Linked DNA regions of Saccharomyces cerevisiae S288C. Changing the gene in region 4 together with the main gene of any one other region gives a genetic interaction. Each region holds a gene or a part of one and is shown on either strand. Other genes may lie near its edges.

What was found.
Region 1: mutations in MED4 (region 4) and COS8 together harm fitness more than expected from each alone (negative genetic interaction), as found in Saccharomyces cerevisiae (one large-scale study listed by BioGRID).
Region 2: mutations in MED4 (region 4) and FHN1 together harm fitness less than expected from each alone (positive genetic interaction), as found in Saccharomyces cerevisiae (one large-scale study listed by BioGRID).
Region 3: mutations in MED4 (region 4) and KAP114 together harm fitness more than expected from each alone (negative genetic interaction), as found in Saccharomyces cerevisiae (2 studies listed by BioGRID).

Annotation. Positions count from the first base shown.
Region 1 is NC_001140.6:3,489-8,989, reverse strand, and holds COS8 (Cos8p), read right to left. Parts: upstream 2,590-5,501; coding exon 1,444-2,589; downstream 1-1,443. Other genes in the region: ARN2 (siderophore transporter), read left to right, coding at 1-639; YHL048C-A (uncharacterized protein), read left to right, coding at 3,193-3,327; YHL049C (uncharacterized protein), read left to right, coding at 4,449-5,264.
Region 2 is NC_001139.9:751,686-756,480, reverse strand, and holds FHN1 (Fhn1p), read right to left. Parts: upstream 1,756-4,795; coding exon 1,231-1,755; downstream 1-1,230. Other genes in the region: prohibitin subunit PHB1, read left to right, coding at 29-892; YGR130C (uncharacterized protein), read left to right, coding at 2,637-4,795. UniProt on the Saccharomyces cerevisiae protein: Involved in membrane organization. Required for the formation of membrane compartments of CAN1 (MCCs), localization of CAN1 at the MCCs and subsequent invagination of the plasma membrane at the MCCs sites.
Region 3 is NC_001139.9:43,241-48,959, reverse strand, and holds KAP114 (karyopherin KAP114), read right to left. Parts: upstream 3,516-5,719; coding exon 501-3,515; downstream 1-500. Other genes in the region: anaphase promoting complex subunit DOC1, read right to left, coding at 1-347; ankyrin repeat-containing protein ANK1, read left to right, coding at 3,763-4,308; TAD1 (tRNA-specific adenosine deaminase), read right to left, coding at 4,451-5,653. UniProt on the Saccharomyces cerevisiae protein: Required for nuclear protein import and mediates docking of import substrate to distinct nucleoporins. Serves a receptor for nuclear localization signals. Mediates the nuclear import of TATA-binding protein (TBP) and of histones H2A and H2B.
Region 4 is NC_001147.6:655,062-660,101, reverse strand, and holds MED4 (Med4p), read right to left. Parts: upstream 1,356-5,040; coding exon 501-1,355; downstream 1-500. Other genes in the region: ALE1 (lysophospholipid acyltransferase), read left to right, coding at 1-287; DCS2 (5'-(N(7)-methyl 5'-triphosphoguanosine)-(mRNA) diphosphatase), read right to left, coding at 1,777-2,838; YRM1 (Yrm1p), read right to left, coding at 3,532-5,040. UniProt on the Saccharomyces cerevisiae protein: Component of the Mediator complex, a coactivator involved in the regulated transcription of nearly all RNA polymerase II-dependent genes.

The DNA.
Region 1 (5,501 bases), on a different chromosome or scaffold from region 4:
CTGGGGCTCATCGTTACGAGATCATCTAGATTGAAGTCGTATATTATTTTTGGTGGCTCACTTTATTTCATTACTATGGGACTATTTTACCGCTACAGGTCAGGTCAAGACGCCGATGGAGGTATAATTGCTGGTATGGTTATTTGGGGTCTCAGTAGTTGTTTATTCGATTATCCTACAATTGTTTCTATTCAGTCGGTAACATCCCATGAGAATATGGCTACTGTCACAGCATTAAACTATACAGTTTTCAGAATAGGTGGAGCAGTTGCAGCTGCCATTTCCGGTGCCATATGGACGCAGTCATTGTACCCTAAATTATTGCACTACATGGGAGACGCTGACCTGGCTACAGCAGCATATGGCTCACCACTAACTTTTATTCTTTCCAATCCCTGGGGTACTCCAGTTAGGTCTGCGATGGTTGAAGCTTACAGACACGTTCAAAAATACGAAGTTATTGTTGCGCTTGTATTTTCAGCGCCTATGTTCCTTCTAACATTCTGCGTAAGAGATCCTCGGTTGACTGAAGATTTTGCCCAAAAGTTACCTGACAGAGAATATGTCCAAACCAAGGAAGATGATCCTATCAATGACTGGATCGCGAAACGTTTTGCAAAGGCCTTAGGCAGGTCATAAGAAAGATTTACAAAACCCCAACAGGATATGTGTTCGAAAAAATGATCTCTGATATGCGCAGTAATTTTTGTATGGTACATAAGATGAAGCAAGATAAGTGATAGTAATATTTGTTACCATGTATATGTTTAATGTGATAACACAAAAGCGTAATATGAGTAATGTTTCAGTAATGTTTCACACATAGAAAACATATAGTGGAAAACGTATTGTAGCAAACCTCTAATCCGGTAGTACTTGAGAAATTATAGCTTCTGTGTACAAAAACAGTACCTATGTAATTCTTACATTTACATAACATATATAAACTTACTACATTATGACATATAAGCTAAATCGTAATTTACTACGTCAACAATATGTCATAGTGTAGTGATATCATTTGCGATTATATCCTACAAAAAAAAAGCACTTATATGACCAAAAATGTATTATCTGGATTTTAAGTTACCGCTTTAATATATGATGTTCTAATGTGAAGCCTGTGTACATATTGATTAGTATGAAAACATTATTGAACTTTCATGTTAATGACACCATGGCAGTATTCTTACCCCAAGTAAAGTGTTTCAGTCTTATTGCTAAAGGGTAGAATATTTTTATATTTAGGTGATTTTAGTGGTTATTTTTCTATAACAAATATTGAAAATAAGTGTTTTTGAATTTAGTGGTTATTGTATGGTGTAAAGTGATAAAACATATGCGAAAAGGAGTATTAATAATAATAAACAAGTAAAATACGTTTTGACTTACTGATATTCGATCAACTACACATAGTATATTTTGGAAAAGGAACATTTGTTCCTACTTTAGGGGCTTCTCATTGCGGGCCGATTGCGCTTCTTTAATGTATGGCCATAGCTCAACGTTCAACGAAGCAAACCACATAGGTTTTTTTAAAGATAAGAGACGATAGAAAAAGCGCCTAAAAAACCATTCGCAGTCAAGTCCATCGTAGAAAAACTCTTCATTATTCCAGACTTTTTTCTCAAACAAATACCTATTCATTTTCTTTGCAATTTCGTCCCATCCATTCGCACCACTTTCTTGCTCATTTATAATAGTTGACAAGAACTGCATCTTGTGTTCCATTTTCACGGATAAAACAATCATCCTCATATTTTGGAAATCTCTCGTCATGATAAAAAACATTACTACCGGAAACAAGAAACGTGATATAAGGTCAGCATTTCCAGACGTGTAGACAATTAAAAAATAATAAAGGAAGAGTGGTAAACACCGCAGGTTGAAAATCCTTTTAAGAATCCAGGTAAGCTTAAATCGGTAAGCTTCTTTGGGGAGCTGAATGTCTTCCAGGTCGAAAGGACTCTCTTCCTTCTCAGTATTAAACAGCTTCCACTCTTTGTCAAATCCTGCAGCATACACTTGCAAGGCCTCTTCGATATAAGGAACGGAATCCTTAAATGACTTAACCTTTGCAGATTCGTCTTTTTTTAAAGAGAAGGGTTCGAGAAGGGTTGTTTTAAACGCTTTTTGGCAGCTCATGGCATTGAAAAAAAAGTACTTGGTATTCCAAGTCTTATTTTCATAGAAGTACGAATTTAGATTTGCTGCAACGACTTCCCAATCATGAGGATCCGAACTTGGTGTGTCTTCAGTAATCTCTTTGCAAAACTGAATGAGTTGTTTCGATAAGGAACGCTTACGAGAAAGTCCACAAATAACAAGGACAAAAAATGGTCCCAGGAACAGGACAAGAAGTGAAACTATAAGTGGGTGAATCCAATTGCTGGAAAGTTTCCACCAGACGCTAAGTGGTAGCCATAACAGCATCCAGATGCGAAACGCTAAAGACTTGTAAATTTCATAACAAAACCAGGTCAATTCGTTTCGGAAAACATCTTGAGGTAGAACGGTCTTTTGGAATTCGAGCTGTTTGAAGGATAACACATCTACGCTTTTCTCATCTTTGACTTCATTCTCTTTCATTTTCGGTAGTGAGATGGCAGTTCGAGGGGTTTTTTATTCGAAATAGTAACTTCTGACTTTTCGCTTTTATACAGCACAGCAGAAAAAAAAAGCCGCCGAGGCGCGCGCGTTCATGCAATGGCTCAGTAACCTCGTGATAGAAAAAGGGAAACAATATTGGGCTATTTTAGGCAAAGAAACTCAGCTATTCGAAAAGGGCATCCATTTCATTTCCGGTTTTCTATCTAGCCAACTCGATAATCGTAATAACGAATTTACAAAACTTTAATGCGGGTGCATCACGGTGTGCCGTAACTTTGGTTTACATTTAAGGTGCGACCAGCAATGTCACTGCTCGTACAGCGGTTACCGCTTGAATGAAATACATATTTTAAGCGTAGATTTCCTGTGACAAAACTGTGTAAACATCTAGTAGAAAATAGACGTAGCTGTCACAAATATTTACACAGGAAAGAGTCCGTCCTACGTATCTGACATGAAGATTCATAGAACCAAGTTACTTACAAATGTGGACAACCTTTCAATACCATTTTTTATCCTTATGCTTGGTGTCACTGTAAAATTGATCAAGGCAAAACCTAGAGGTACGGTGGTGCTCAGATCATGCATGACATCTGGGTAATCACCACTTCTCCCGCTTGCTTTGAGATTCTGTATAAATATTGCAAACAAAAGGGTAGAGCACGGATGGGAGGCCTTATAGTAAAAATTATTCGTTTTAATCATGCGTCAGTGTGAGATTCTATGACAATAGTATGAGAAGATAGGGTGAAGTAAAAGCGTCTGTATGACTATAGAGTACAGTTATATTACAATATATGGAATAGAGCATAGTGGTATGACGGTATTAAGGAACATTTAAGTTAATGACGTCATGGTGGTATTGATACGCAATTGAGTGTGTTTATGTACTATGGTTGAAGGATAGAATATTTTTATGTTTAGGTGATTTTAGTGGTGATTTTTTTGTAATATTGGCATAAGTGTATATAAATTGAGTGGTTAGTATACGGTGAAAAAGAGGTATAACGTATGTATTAAGAGCAGTTATACAATATTTGGGGCCGCCGAATGAGATATAGATATTAAAATGTGGATAATCGTGGGCGTTATGGGTAAATGGCACAGGGTATAGACCGCTGAGGCAAGTGCCGTGCATAATGATGTGGGTGCATTTAGTACTGATTTAGTGAGAGATGGGTCATGGAGTGGAGTAGAATGTGAAAGTAGGGTAAGTTGAGAGTGGTATATACTGTAGCATCCGTGTGCGTATGCCGTACCAGTATACAAGTGCAAGTGAGTGTGGCATGTGGTGTGTGTGGGTAAGTACGTGTGTATTATTTACGATCATTTGTCAACGTTTCAACATGGTGGGTGGGACATGGAGCATTAGGAAGTGACTTGGTACGCCAAAAAGGGCTCCTCTACCTCAGCGGGGTAATAAAATTTATCCACGAAGCGGCTGAGCAACGAACAGAATCCTGGTTCTCCTCGACTAAGCAGACGGTTAAGATACTGTGCACCATGGAAATTGAAAACGAAAGCACGTACCGACTGCTTTATTTTTGCAGGCCGGAAATCAAGCGATGAATGAGACATCCTTCTGTTTTCTATGTTGGGACAGACAGTCGCTTATCTTAGTGAGATTTCTTATTAACTGAATTTTCTTTGCTGCTGCTGGAGATTTGCACCTGCATAGCGCAGATTCTGCTTCTTCTCAATAGAGTAGCTTAATTATTACATTCTTAGATGATGATAAGACGGAAACTGGACAATCTTTTGTTTATATTGATGGATTTCTTGTCAAAAAGCATAACAATCAACATACTATTGTTAATTTCGAAACTTACAAAAATAAAATGAAAGTTTCCGATAGGCGTAAGTTTGAAAAAGCAAACTTTGACGAGTTTGAGTCGGCTCTAAATAACAAAAACGACTTGGTACATTGTCCCTCAATAACTTTATTTGAATCGATCCCCACGGAAGTGCGGTCATTCTACGAAGACGAAAAGTCTGGCCTAATCAAAGTGGTAAAATTCAGAACTGGTGCAATGGATAGGAAAAGGTCTTTTGAAAAAATTGTCGTTTCCGTCATGGTCGGGAAAAATGTACAAAAGTTCCTGACGTTTGTTGAAGACGAACCAGATTTCCAGGGCGGACCAATCCCTTCAAAGTATCTTATTCCCAAGAAAATCAACTTGATGGTCTACACGTTGTTTCAAGTGCATACTTTGAAATTCAATAGAAAGGATTACGATACCCTTTCTCTTTTTTACCTCAACAGAGGATACTATAATGAGTTGAGTTTCCGTGTCCTGGAACGTTGTCACGAAATAGCGAGTGCCAGGCCGAACGACAGCTCTACGATGCGTACTTTCACTGACTTTGTTTCTGGCGCACCTATTGTAAGGAGTCTTCAGAAAAGCACCATAAGGAAATATGGGTACAATTTGGCACCCCACATGTTTTTGTTACTACACGTAGATGAGCTATCGATTTTTTCTGCATACCAAGCAAGTTTACCTGGCGAAAAGAAAGTCGACACAGAGCGGCTGAAGCGTGATCTATGCCCACGTAAACCCACTGAGATAAAGTACTTTTCACAGATATGTAACGATATGATGAACAAAAAGGACCGATTGGGTGATGTTTTGCATGTGTGCTGCCCAAGTTGAGAAGAGATACTAACAAAATGACCGCGGCTCTCAAAAATAATTGACGAGCTTACGGTGATACGCTTACCGTTATCCAGAGCTACAGCGCAACGTATACGTCGACGATACAACAAGAACGGTTCATCGGAGCCTCGACTAAAGACGCTTGACGGACTCACTTCCGAGCGCTGGATTCAATGGTTAGGCCTTGAAAGCGACTACCATTGTTCATTCTCTAGTACTCGGAATGCGGAAGAC
Region 2 (4,795 bases), on a different chromosome or scaffold from region 4:
CAAAATCAATAATTTACTTTAGAAAAGAATGTCTAATTCTGCCAAACTTATCGATGTCATCACCAAGGTGGCGTTGCCCATTGGTATAATTGCTAGCGGGATTCAGTACTCCATGTATGATGTGAAGGGTGGTTCTCGTGGTGTTATTTTCGACAGAATCAATGGTGTAAAGCAACAGGTTGTGGGTGAAGGCACTCATTTCTTGGTGCCTTGGCTACAGAAGGCGATCATATACGATGTGAGGACGAAACCAAAGAGCATTGCTACCAATACTGGTACGAAGGATTTGCAAATGGTGTCATTGACCTTGAGAGTCTTACATAGACCAGAGGTCTTACAGCTACCCGCAATATACCAAAATTTGGGTCTCGATTACGACGAAAGAGTGTTACCATCTATCGGCAATGAGGTTTTAAAGTCTATAGTAGCTCAATTTGATGCTGCTGAGTTAATTACTCAGAGAGAAATTATTTCTCAAAAAATCAGAAAAGAGCTTTCTACGAGGGCCAACGAATTCGGTATTAAGTTGGAAGATGTCTCTATCACTCATATGACGTTTGGTCCCGAATTCACGAAAGCAGTTGAGCAGAAGCAGATTGCACAGCAAGATGCCGAAAGAGCCAAATTCCTTGTCGAAAAGGCAGAGCAAGAGAGACAAGCTTCTGTTATCAGAGCTGAAGGTGAAGCAGAAAGTGCTGAATTCATTTCAAAAGCCTTAGCTAAAGTTGGTGATGGTCTGTTATTGATTAGAAGATTAGAAGCTTCTAAGGACATCGCTCAAACATTAGCAAACTCATCTAACGTTGTCTATTTACCAAGTCAACATTCTGGTGGTGGTAACAGCGAGTCTTCGGGATCACCAAATTCCTTGCTTTTGAACATTGGCCGTTAAGTCTGGAAAAGCTATGAACACAATAAACTAGGGGAGAAAATTTTTTTTTAATCATATTAGAAACCTGTATATATGGGGGATAACAACGCCAATAACATATTCCATCTTTCCATTTAGTTACCAACACGAATACGTATGCTATCAATATCGTAACTTAGTTTTTTATCATTTATATATATACATGGATGAGCCTACGAAAAAACTAAAGCACATTCATGTATCACCATAATATTATTTTAGAAAGAACTTTTTTTGTTAAATTTATTTAATGCAAAGGTTATATAAAGAACGATCAACGAAAATTGTACGCGAATTGCCTTTTTTTCAGTCCAGTAGGCTTAAACCTGGGAAATTGTAGGTATGCCCATTTGTCTTCTTGCCCTCCTTCTGCTGAATCCGGTATTAGAGCCAAATCCACCATTTTGCATCATACCCATCGTGGCCACAGTCACTTTGATGAGGAATAGAAAACAGGAAAAGTAAAAAAACGCAACAGCAGCCTGAGATTGATGACATCTGGAGCTTGAGCCTTGTATGATCTTATTCTGTTCCAGATATGTTTTGTTTTTACACGAATGGCATCTTATACCTACAGCCAAAGCGGTGGCTGCTACAAACGTAAATATGAAATTTAAAAAATCCAAAACAAGCAAAATTGCTGGGTATGTTAATGATGTCCAGAAATTAGCCAAAAACCCATATAATGAATCCGTAACCAGACCATAAACGGCGGCAAACATACAAAAGTTCACTCGAGAACTATGCTTTGTCTGTGTACCTATCAGGCCGCTGATTAGACCTATGGATATAATAAGAAAAACAGCATTTATGATGCGCACTAAATTATCTGCAGCTGATAGCATTTATTATTGTTGTTGCTTTATTGTTATTTAAAATTCCAATGAATATGAAGCCTCTCAAAAGCTTAACATACTCTATCGTGCTTCCTCCCATCGCAAGAAGGATTTACTGATACAGCCAATTATTATAATTTATATTTATACTTATATCTGCATCCAAGGCGCGATAGGCCCTACTTCCCACCTGCCTGTGCAAAACATTGCTCATTGTTCGTAAAGGAAATCTTCAACAGATTTTAAACGGCATGCCGCCAAAGGGTTCGTAAAGAGGAAAAGTTCATGAGAATACAAGCGCGACATTCTGCCGGCACAATGCGGCGCAGGAAAGAGATACCAAAGGAGTGAGATCTCAACAGCATGTGCCACATCCGCGCATATACAATAAATGTAACAAGCGCCCCGAAATGGAGCTACGAACTATCCCAGCACTAAAAGCACATATATTGTATTGTCGCTACTGCAAAGTGCTAAACATCAATAATTTCGAACAAGCGGAAATAAATCACAGTTCTTTCAATTGCTTGCCTCCCAATACGCCACTGATAAATGTCAAAATTTCCACGTCACCGACCCTTCAATGGTAGCAATAGAAAGATCTACAAAGGCTATGAAGTAAAGGGTTCTCACCTTAAACGGCTGAACAGGAATAAGGGGTGTGCGGCCGGGTAGCGAGTTGCTTTTTTAAATTGAAACGAGGAGAAAAGAACCGGGAGAGGGGTAGTCGAATGCTGAACAGTGCAGACAACATACCATTCTTATCCATCGTTCTGTCATATATATCATCGTTCTTGTGCTTGCTACCCCGTGGACCCTCGTACATCTTAAACCTGAGAGCAGCTGCACGCAATTAAAAGAAAGAGGTCAATCAACTACGTATTCAAAACATGCTATTCAATATCAACCGTCAAGAAGACGACCCCTTTACGCAATTGATCAATCAATCTTCGGCAAATACGCAAAATCAGCAAGCGCATCAGCAGGAAAGCCCTTATCAGTTTTTGCAAAAGGTTGTGTCCAATGAGCCAAAAGGTAAGGAAGAGTGGGTCTCGCCATTTAGACAAGATGCCCTCGCCAATAGGCAAAACAACCGGGCATATGGGGAAGACGCAAAAAACAGAAAGTTTCCTACCGTAAGTGCTACTTCTGCCTATTCAAAACAGCAACCTAAGGATTTAGGGTACAAAAACATACCAAAAAATGCTAAGAGAGCCAAAGATATTAGATTTCCAACTTACCTAACTCAAAATGAAGAAAGACAATATCAGTTACTAACTGAGTTGGAACTAAAGGAGAAACATTTGAAATATTTGAAGAAGTGCCAGAAAATTACTGACTTAACTAAGGATGAAAAAGATGACACTGACACTACTACTTCTTCGTCCACTTCTACATCATCATCGTCATCGTCATCGTCATCGTCATCGTCATCGTCTTCATCAGATGAAGGGGACGTTACTTCTACTACCACATCTGAGGCCACTGAAGCAACTGCTGACACTGCAACTACGACAACCACTACCACCAGTACTTCTACTACCAGCACTTCTACTACTAATGCTGTCGAAAATAGTGCTGATGAAGCAACTTCCGTGGAGGAAGAACATGAAGACAAAGTGAGTGAGTCTACTTCAATTGGCAAAGGCACTGCTGATTCAGCTCAAATTAATGTAGCGGAACCAATCTCATCCGAGAATGGGGTGTTGGAACCACGCACTACAGATCAAAGTGGCGGTTCAAAGTCAGGTGTCGTGCCAACAGACGAACAAAAGGAGGAAAAATCCGATGTAAAAAAAGTCAATCCTCCCAGTGGGGAAGAAAAAAAGGAAGTGGAAGCGGAAGGGGATGCAGAAGAGGAAACCGAACAATCGTCTGCAGAGGAATCTGCTGAGAGAACGTCTACTCCAGAAACCTCGGAACCGGAATCCGAAGAAGATGAAAGCCCAATCGATCCAAGCAAGGCTCCCAAGGTCCCTTTTCAGGAACCTTCTCGAAAGGAAAGAACCGGAATTTTCGCTTTATGGAAAAGCCCTACTTCTTCATCTACCCAAAAAAGTAAGACCGCCGCTCCATCCAATCCAGTGGCCACTCCAGAAAATCCTGAATTAATTGTAAAGACAAAAGAACATGGTTACCTATCAAAGGCAGTTTATGATAAAATCAATTATGATGAAAAAATTCATCAAGCATGGTTAGCTGATCTTCGAGCAAAGGAAAAGGATAAATATGATGCTAAAAATAAAGAATACAAAGAAAAGCTACAAGATTTACAAAATCAGATTGACGAAATTGAAAATTCAATGAAGGCCATGAGAGAAGAAACTTCTGAGAAAATTGAAGTTAGTAAAAACCGGTTGGTCAAAAAAATCATTGATGTTAATGCCGAGCATAATAATAAGAAACTAATGATATTAAAAGACACTGAAAATATGAAAAACCAAAAGTTGCAGGAGAAAAATGAGGTCTTGGACAAACAAACCAACGTTAAGTCAGAAATCGATGATTTGAACAATGAGAAAACGAATGTCCAAAAGGAGTTCAATGACTGGACCACGAACTTAAGTAACTTATCTCAACAGTTGGATGCTCAGATCTTTAAGATTAACCAGATTAATTTGAAACAAGGCAAAGTTCAAAACGAAATCGATAATCTGGAAAAGAAAAAGGAGGATTTGGTTACCCAAACTGAAGAAAATAAGAAGCTGCATGAAAAAAATGTACAAGTTTTGGAAAGTGTAGAGAACAAGGAATATCTTCCACAAATTAATGATATTGATAATCAAATATCAAGCTTATTGAACGAAGTGACCATAATCAAGCAGGAAAACGCCAATGAAAAAACTCAACTATCGGCAATTACCAAAAGACTCGAAGATGAGCGCCGCGCTCATGAAGAACAGTTGAAGCTAGAAGCTGAAGAAAGAAAACGCAAAGAAGAGAACTTATTGGAAAAACAGCGCCAAGAGCTGGAGGAACAAGCGCATCAGGCTCAATTAGATCATGAGCAGCAAATTACTCAAGTCAAGCAAACCTATAATGACCAATT
Region 3 (5,719 bases), on a different chromosome or scaffold from region 4:
TCGCTCTGCCAAAACGTATCGTAGTTATCATCTAGAGCAAAGTCCACAGGATTCCCCAACTTAAAAGAAGAAGGCTTCCAAAGCGCTAAATGTGTCACGTTGATCATCCTTGCCGAATCCAATATTTCAATACCTTGGTGGAACATATGTTGCAAGTTCTCCGGTGTAGGATTCTGATACTGAATCTCTTCTTGGAACCCATTCACGTAGAGATCTTTGGTTGCCGCATCCACAATCCTGTCATCCAACACCAACACTGAAGGTTTATTATGGCAACTCTTAACAGGTTTGATAAGCTCTGAGGGTGCTAAATGGTCCAAGACTTTGTTTATTCCAATCGGGTCCATTATCTGACTTCTAAATCTCGTATTATTTTTGCCACCTTCTGTGGTCAGTTTATTTAACACTTTCTTTCTTTTATATAGACGGCGCTTATTTTGCCGCATTTTTTCTACTCTAACTACTTTACATCTGATATCTCCACGGCTTATGTATATAAGCTACAAAAGGGCTTCTGAAAGAACTTTACGTTCACTGTCGGATAGAGTCTCGTAAATACAATGGAAGCCACTCACATCTTTGCTTGCAACCTCTTTAAAGAATCTTACCAGTAGCTGAACAACAGATTCCTTCACGTCCATGAGTCCCGTTATATCGTCTGAATCGTCGTCTGCTTCTTCATCGACATCATCATCAATATATTCTTTCAACTTATCGTAATCGAGTACATCATCTACATCTTCCCAATCATCATTGTCGTCATCTTTATTAGCATTTACCACTTCTTGCTTAATATCGCTTGTGATCAATTGTTCTGGATTCGGTTGTTTACTTTGGAAGCTTAACTCAGAAACAAACAATTTAATGATCTTGGTATAAAGTGGAACTTGTACATACCTGTCTGGCATTTTCTTAGCCATTGATCTTGTAATGATCAGGTCCCCTTCGTATGGTATCAAGTTACCATTGACAACCACTTTCTGTAGCCTTTTGTCGTTCAGGAAGAAAAGGTTGCTCAAAGCAACGATATTTTCTTTGATTCTTTTTTCACCTCTAATGACTTCAAAGGCTTCTATCCATTTTCGCATCACCAATGTCAAAGCATCAGTATTGTCAATTTGGAAACTAGACAAAAAATCCACCGTTTGTTTAGGATCATTACACGTTAAGAAGCATAATACAGAAAGAAGGTTTTGCTCAGTAGAAATGTTTTGTGTCTTAATTAACCTTACCACAACGGCTTCCAAAATTCTTCCTATTAACGGTTGGATTTCCTTTGAAAACCTTGTGAATATGGCAACTACCAATGGACCGACGTTCATAGCGGCTGAATCCGATACCTCCAAAGACAGCAGCCTTTCTAGAACCTTCATGATATCCATTAACCTTGGCTCCATGGCTCGTGTATCTGTGTTGAAAATCAGGTAGCTGAATGCCTCCGTGGCTAACTGTAGGGTCTCATCTTCAGTAGAGAACGCTAATACTTTTGCTAATGGTTCAAATAGGTATTGATTTATTTCATCTGGTAAAAATCCATCGTTGGGTTTTTTCTTCAAAAAAACTGTGATGAATTCCAAGACTAATGATAGCAGGGGTGAGTATCTATAATTGTTTGCATTGTTGGAATCTAGCACATTAATAAATGATGGGAGACATAATTCAATGTAATTTTTGTAATTATCCATATTGATATTATCCAATAGTTTCTCCAAGCATTCTTGACTTTGTACAACGACCTGTACATTTGCTGGATCCTCGGATGAGATCGTGAACACAAGATGAAATTCAGCCTGTAAAATTTCCTTTCTTGAATGAGGTTCTTTCGGATTGTAGCTAATGACTTGACTTAATACTTCCATTAAAGCCCCATTAGTGTCCTCTTCGGCATCACTACTAACCTGGTTGATTATTCGAATTACTTTTTCCTGGGTTTCTGAGCAGACCTCTGGTCCAAGGACTGAATCTAGTTCGGCAAAATAACAATAGTACGTAAATGCTATTAATGTTGCGGATTTAATGAGCTCTTTATCAGATTTTAGCGCCAAATTAAGACTTTTTGCCAAGAATGCAGATGTCAAGGGTTTGATATCAGGTAATGCATCTATAAATTTGTCTAGTACTCTGGGAATAGTCAAAATTGCACGCGCCAATATTAATTCTGGTATTTCTTGTGATACTAAGATATTTTCTAACGTTTTTATTAAAATTTGCAAAGATTGATCGATATTTTCACCAGTTATCTCATCATCATTAAGCAAAATACACTGTAAGAGATATAGTAAAGATTCTAAAGTTGAATAATTACACGTGCTGTGTTCTATATCGTTGGAAACAACTTTGAAAATTAGGGAAAGTTGAGGATTGGGTAATGAAGTAAAAAATTCATTGGCTTGATCTCTAACATTATATGATGCTGCTAGGCCTGTTTCCTTCGATACAAATGTATTGAAATCGCTTGTCCATATCTCTCTTGTCTCAGAACTTAGCTGACAAAGAATGGTTAAAGATGTTATAATTTTGTTCATCTCTTCAACACTAAATTGCAAAGTGCAAACACTAGTCAAAAATTCTACAATATAAATAGAACAATCATGAACTGTTTCTAAAAGGGGTTCACTTTCAGTAGTTTCGACATTTGCATTTATATGGGTAACGTTTTCCAGATCTTGGATTGCCATTATTTTGAACTGTTTTTGTAATTCACTTGAGAAATGCTTTCTAGAGAAATCATTTTTAATAAAAACCAAATTCTCGTATATAATGGATTTAAATTTCAACTGAGAAATAACATCTACGTTTCCAAAATTCAAAGTCAACAATTGTCCCAATATCTGTAAAGAAGTAGCTAAACATTGGGAGACAAAACTTTTTCGTGACGCCTCATCATACTCATTATGGGAGCTCATTTGTAGAAGACATGCTTTAAGTAGCTTCAAAGCAGCAATTTTGGCTATCAAAGTAGAAGTTTCTGTATTGAGTACTTTGAAAACGATCTCCATTGTCGCCAAGCCAATTCCGCCTTCAAAGAACATTTCTTCAGATACGACATCATCGTAAATTTCATTCAATAAAGACATCGCATTTAATGAATGCTGATGAGAGATAGCATCATAAATAACTGTTAAAAGCTGCGGCCATTGATCAGGAAAATCAACCGCAGATATCTGAACAATACAGTAAGATGCACCATTTTTTATTTTGGTATTTTCATTGTCATTTAAGCATAATTTCAGTAGCACTTCTCGGATAAAATCTTTAACATCTATTTCGACGTTCGATGTAGAACGGTATGATTCAAATCCTGGACTCCAATACATGGTGATCAATTTTCTTAACGACAATAAAGCAAACTGTCTCGATTCTAGAGAAGCTTCGTGCTGTAAGGCAACGTTTGCCAGCGCTTTAAACACTTGAGATGCATCGGAATCACACCACTGTAACAATTGCGTTTCCGCAACTTCTCTAGTGTGTTTATCAGCTGATTGAGCACCTATTATCAATTCATTAATATCCATTTTAATGTGTTGATAGTGTTACAATTACGTTCAAGATTTTCGGATCGTGTATGCAGGTCATATACATCCATATGTATCTTTTTTTTTTTTTCCTAGTATACCCAAGGTATAACGCGTTGATAGAAAGGTTGACAATAAATTCATTATATAGGGGTCCTGTGAGGTAGTTTCTGAATCCCAGTGAAAAAAGTCATAAGTGAAAGAAGTCGAAGTTTTTCACAAAATAAATTAGTTTCTTTTTTTGATCATGAATACTGAAGGTGCTTCTTTAAGTGAACAATTGCTGGATGCAGCTAGAAGAAACAATCTGGATCTTTTGGAGACCGTATTTGATAGCTTAGATAATGATCCTGAGAAGATTGCAAAGCTAATTAACGAATCCAAAGAACCACTGGGGAATACAGCGTTACATTTATGTTGTAAGTATGGATCCTGGGAAGTTCTCGACAAGATTCTCGATCAAGACGGTGAAATCGAAATAGACCCACAAAACGACGTTGATGGCGACACTCCGTTACATGTTACTGTCAGATACAGTCAAGAGGAGCCTGAGCATGGAACTTTTATTGCTAGAAACTTAATTGAAGTGGGTGCGGATCCTAGGGTGAGAAACTATAACAATCAAAAGCCAGTTGATTTGGTTCATGGTGATGAACTGGATGAATTAATTGACCTTTTGCAGGGTGCCGAGTTAGCGATTGATAGTACCAATGGATCAGGTGATAACAATGAGGATGGGGAAATGATAGATGATGGTCCATCTGACGATGACGAAGAAGATGATAAAAAATGATAAAATATGTGATGATAATACCACAGAGAGGGAAAGATAGATGAACTCTGGATATATAGATATTTCTACTGTGTATATATTTCTTTAAGGTGCACTAACAAAAAAGTGTGCATATACGCATATTCAACAATATATATATATATTACTTCACATCATCCGTTCTGGTGGGTATCCAACCATCGGGAGATAAAATGTTCTTTATTGCGATAATTAACTGGCTTCTCTTTTTTTGACGAGATTTAAATTCCAAATAGCTTATTCCTTCATACTCTGGTCTTATTTTTTTGAATAGTTCCCATTGTGCAAACCGGCTTACTTGCGATTGACAGTGTTTCCTCAGTGGTTTCGATGATTTGGTATAAAATCCATTCCTCACGCCATTAAGAATCGCTTCTTCGGTGCTAAAGTCATCCATAAAGAGCTTGACACTACACATTAGACCAGGAACATCCTCCTCATCCAATTTATCATCATAAAATGGTTTGAGGCAATTCAGGAATTTAATTTCATTATCTAGATTCGGTAGACGAGTGTGAAATGATTGCTCTAGATGATGTTTCGTTTCATCTTCTAAATTAGGAATCACAATGTACTTTAAAAATACAGGTTTTTCAAAGAGTTCATAATTTAAACAATTCAGTACCGACGACCGTTGTTTCATTAATAATTTATCAGAACAGGATTTAGATAAAGTGATATTGGAATCATATCTTCCTGGTTTAGTCCTAACGACATTTCTTCTATTGAAATTCAAGCGTCCCCTCAATATTGTTTTCACACTACGGTCGACGTATTGAAATTCGTCGCTATCTTCTATTTTGATGAAATCATCATTTTTGCAATTATCATTCAGGAAACTCATGCTGGCATCACCACAGGGCAATCTCGAGATGTACAATGCCAACTCCCAGTTTTCCTTTAAATTGAATCTGGCAGGTATCTCGTCATTATGTTGAATGAATTTATCACCACTTGATGGATTATAGTTTTGAATACGGTTTAATAAAACTGTATTAGCACCTCGTAATGCCAGTATTTCTGCATGACAGTCATGCAGAATCTTCCCCTCACTTCTTTGTAGTTCTGAATCTGGCAAAGCCTTCACACCAGTAGCTATGGAAAGTATCTCTATCTTATTCGCACCGCCATCTCTGTTAATAGCTGCAACACCTGCCAATATTGTCCACTCTCTGATACCTGAAGGCCTAATTATTGGTCTGCAGGCAGATTTTAGTTTTGAATACTCATTAATCACCCTCGTTGATATCTCTTCACCCAATTTATCCTCACTTGGCATAGTGAGAAGGTTTACTATGCATGGCCTTGTTCCTTGGCACGAAACCATTCACATCACTATTATTTTCTGTTCATTTTTTTTTTTTTTTGCATCACAACGATGATAGTATTATTT
Region 4 (5,040 bases):
AACATGAAAAGGGAAAGACAGCAGAAGAAGAAGAAATGAACTTAGGTATTCCACCAATTGAGTTAGAAAAGTGGGACAATGCTAAGGAAGATTGGGAAGATTTCTGCAAAGATTACAAAGAATGGAGAAATAAAAATGGTCTTGAAATAGAAGAGGAAAACCTTTCTAAAGCTTTTGAAAGATTCAAGCAGGAATTTTCTAACGCTGCAAGTGGATCAGGTGAACGTGTGAGAAAAATGAGTTTTAGTGGTTACTCACCAAAGCCTATTTCAAAAAAGGAAGAGTAGATGGCCAAAAACGACAGATGCGTGTGGAAGTCACAGTCTTGTTGTCTTATTTTCCAGTTCCTGTGGGAACTTACTTTCAAATGTTTTTCATACACTTTGACATATTGCAGTAAATTATATATGTAATTTTATATACGCTTTTACCTACACGAATTATTGTCTAACTTTTTTTTTTCTTCATTCCTAACGAGGAAGAGATTCAAGACACTGCAACTAGAAGTCGTCCGGATCAAACAGATCAAGATCAAGATCTAGGGCATCATCATTATTTTCTTCCTTTTCTTTATCTTTGGTATTGTCTGCCTCATCACCAACTTCTTTAGCAGTACCATCAAATATAAACGAGTCTGTCTTTGGTGTACCTTCTTTCTTGGCCATCTGCCCTTTTTGTTCTTCACTTTGAGATGGCGGTACGGTCGGTACTTCTGTTTCTTCTACTTCTTCACCGGGTATTCTAGTTAGCTCTTTACTATGTAATGAGGCCATAGCAAGCATTCCTCTTCGTAGGGCATCCTCTGCGGGCCATATAAAATTGTTGGGTCCCACAGCTCCCTTGTCGAACGTTGGTGGTATTTTGGTAAACTTGGAGAGTTTGGTGGCATAATCCAACAACTCTGTCGAATTGATTTTCGATCTTTGCTGTAAAATTGTGTTTTTCTCGAACTCTACTTGTTCAAGCATCGGTAGTGCTTTTAACTCGTCATGACATTCATTTAGAATTTCCAATATCTTCCTGGTTTTAGAATCTAGTTCTTCAGAGTCTTTGTCAATCTTCTGTAAGTTGCGGTAGATATTGTCATATTCAGCTAACAGTTTGACGTTTTCAAACAAGGCCTCATCAGTTCTGATCAAATCCTTGGCAATATCAAGGTTTGGTTTGAAACGATCTACAGATTCCACCAACTTACTCAATGTATCCTCGTACCGGCACAAATCTTCGTAGAGTTGGACCTTAGATAATTTGTCTTCACTATTCGTGTTTGAAGTAGCCTCTGCTACCAGGGATACAGAGGATGATCTGATGTGACCCATAGAAAACTCTACCGCTTTAGTATCTTGGACAGACATAACATTCGTTGTGTGTACTCTGGAAGTAATTGATACTAGATGCTTTCTCCACCGTTAACAATATACCAGAAAACCTTGTTGAAAACGGGACACGTTATAACTACTTTCCTTCGCGGTATGGTGAGCAGAGAATGCAAAAGTTTATCTTTTTCTCCAGCCTACCTTACGTAGGTGGTAATGCACTATTTTTTCGCATTTCTTTGAAAAGGCTGGCAATACGTCAAAGGCTATGTATGCTATAAGGGAAAGAAAGCTTATACGGAAAATAGCAACTGAATGTACTATGTTACTGTGCATTCGCATTCTATGTTAAAATTCAAAATCCATTGAGATGTATACACAAACATTTAAATAAGACATTTATATAAGCCGGCGCTTCCTGAAGTTCAGCACATGAAAAAATAGTGCTGCTCTTCTACCTTCAACCCAAATTGGTATTGAACCCAGAGCCTTTTTCAGGACTGGTTGCGATACCATCATGCTTCAGTTGCTTTTCAACTTCTTCCTTAAAGCCCTTTTTCCATAAATCATGATTTTCACCAATGACATAAGTAAGCGTCTTCTTCATATAACCTTCAGGACCTAAGAAACCCAACGCTTCTATAACATCTTCCAACAGTATTGTCATTCCGGAGCCTCTCTCCTCGCCTACTCCTGGATGCCTTATATTCACTATATGGACATGAAAATGGTAATATGAAGGTTGATAATGAATGAAAACTCTTAGCTCGTCCGGGTTTACATTATAGTCATAGTGCTGGGGGATGATGGTCTTAATCTTCTTATTGAGTCTAATTAACCAATCTCTATGGTTTGGGTTCAAATCTCTCAAAGATTTGATGTCGTCCCTGTACACGATCGCGACCAGGTATAACGAATCAATGTTGATTCCGTCCCACTTCATATCGGGCAAGATGACGAATCCATCCTCTTTATTCCTGCTACTGTATTCCTTATAAACAACTCTATCATCCTCGGCGCCCTCGTAAAGAATGTTGTTTACCCATTTCATTCTTTCGCTGGTACACATCTCTTGGATAAAGGGCACAACTATGTTTCTATACATATCAGGAGTTTCTCTGACGACATGTAAATCCTGCTGGTCGTATCCCTTGATGTGGAACTGCGAGGCGGGCCAAATTAAGTTAACCTTCGCAGTTGGGTTATGCAAAATATGCTGCTTCAAAACAGACAACCCCCAGTAGTAGATGTCATTCGAAGTTAATTCCTTCAGATCAGTAATACCGTTTAAAAAGGAGTACTCGTCTATTTCACGATGAAAGAAAATCGGAGTGCTACGGCCACTTTGAGAGGGTCTACGTACCGTTTCATCAAATATGAAATGCGTCTTTTCAGCAGTTAACACGGCATCCTTCCCATCTATGCTGCCTAGTAGTGAGATTACCTTTGTATGAGGGTTCGAATCTAACACCCTGACGTATTTAAACCTCCCAATTAAACTAGCTAAATCTTGGGAACCCATCATGTATTTTTTTACTTTTACACGCTCAAATCTTTTCAATTTTGCAATGAAAAGGTACCGACCTAACATATATTTGAAGACCAAACGAAACCCCCGTGCTTCTGTTTCTCTTCTTTCTGCCTTTATACTCATTGGTATTGTCACCCCTTATTTCCCCCCTAGGCGTCTGCGCGGCCGCTGTCATGGGGCTGTCCTTTCGGACTAGCATATAATCACTGACGCTAGCTCTAATCGATCAATAATTAAGTGGAAGTATTTTGTTGAGGTGGGTGATTATTATGGGGAAGATTTTTGACAATCGAATGAACACTTTAACAGCTTTTGGAGGCTAGAGTGCCAGTAAGCTCCATACTTCTTTGGAGTTGATTTCTTTTTCTTGCAGAATAGGTTGGACAAAGTACATCCATCAGAACAATTGCAGGTGCCTTTTGTTCACGCAATTACTGGCTTTTCCTTGTTTGTTTGGTCAAGAAGTTAGTGTTTAGCTTTTTCCCTTCATTTTTTTATTTTTCTTATTTTATAGATGCTTAAATGTCATTTTTGTCTTACTAATCATTAAATAGTTGGTCCGAAAGATAGGTCCAAGCGCAAGTCCAAGCCAATGGCTTGCTCTCGACTGTCTTCCATTACAATATGCAAGTTTTCTATCTAGCTGCTGTCGCAAGCATGTTTTTTTGTAAAAGAACTTCTCCTCTACTGCGTATCAAATAAATATTTATAATCTGGCTGACTCATTAGTTCCTCCCAGCCAAGGTTGTACGCCGTCCAAAATTCGTTGGATATTGTCTGTGCCAGTTCAGTCTCAATTGGCCCAGTTTCATTGTTATGCGAAGCGTTTTCGCTGTTATTTCGCACTTCCTCCGGGGGTAATCCTGGAGAATTTCCCGCCAATGGACTGGCGCTTGTGACGCCCAGGTCACTTAAACTGGGATCGATTGGAGTATTTACATTGTCAGTGAGCGAATAGGACCCATTCAATTCGTCTTGGAGTTGTTGTAACCATGTGTTTTCGACCTCGGTTCTATATTTGATTACTTTTTCCAAAACAGCTCTATATATGCTTTCCAGGGCGATGTTGATAACAAATGTATAAGAGCGAGCCATAATAATTCTTAACTGCTTGTTGTTATCATTAGACCATTTAGCAAATATATCTGAATGTATTTTGAAAGCAGTAAGTAAGTTCATAGCTTTATCCAACGGGATATTCAAGGTTGACAAATCCCAATCTGTGACTTCTTGATCTTTGATGTTGGATGATAGATAATAGCCCTTCTCAAAAAGAGTTAACTTATGATACAAAAACGCACAAAAGCCAGTAGAGGCCCTAGGAAAAAGGAAATTTGTGTATACTAAAGACAAGGCCATAAATGGCGGTAAATGAACGCAATTATGATCAAAAAACTCAGGAAAATGCTTCTCATCTAGGTTAAAACACAGTATGGTCGTATTGATGACAAGGGAAAAAGAGACCAAAATGGTTTGCAGGATGTTGTTCTCTAAAACAACGCTTTTTTCCTTGTAAATCAAATACCTCAAGGAATAAAACGTCAACAACAAATTCAAAACCTGCGCAAGCACTTTAATCTCGCACAAAGGAACTTTAGATATTAACTCACTGTCAGTGTAATATGATATTGGGTGGAATTCAGTCTCTACAAAGTTTCTTAGTTTTTTACAATTTTCGGCTAAGTCTGGAAATGCGCTTCTATCATAAATTTGATCTAGCATTGGTCGAGCTAATCTTAAAAACCTTTTAAGCTTGCCCATGCAGGAATTTGACTGATCGAAAAAAACCGTCGATGAATAATTGTTTGTATTTTTAGGCAACCTCTCACCATTCTCGCATTCATCGACTTGAAAATAGGATGAGTTAATCGCCAAACATCTCCCAATATTTAAAGAAACATTGAAATCTGATAATATAATCCAAACCCACAAATTTTCCAAACTTTCCATACTCCCCACAATATTTTCTTGATTTTTGTATATTTCTCTTATATTCAAGTGTAAACCCAGCATAATTGCCGTGCTGCATAATAAGTCAACTAGACTAATCATATGCGAATCGTCTCCACACGCCCAAATTAGTTCTCGATGATAGTATTTCAATAAGAGAAATTGAGCGCGTTCAATGAAATATACTTTAGCTGTTGACAGTCCCGTCAGCATGATGAGAAATTTCTCTATCTCTTCCGGAGT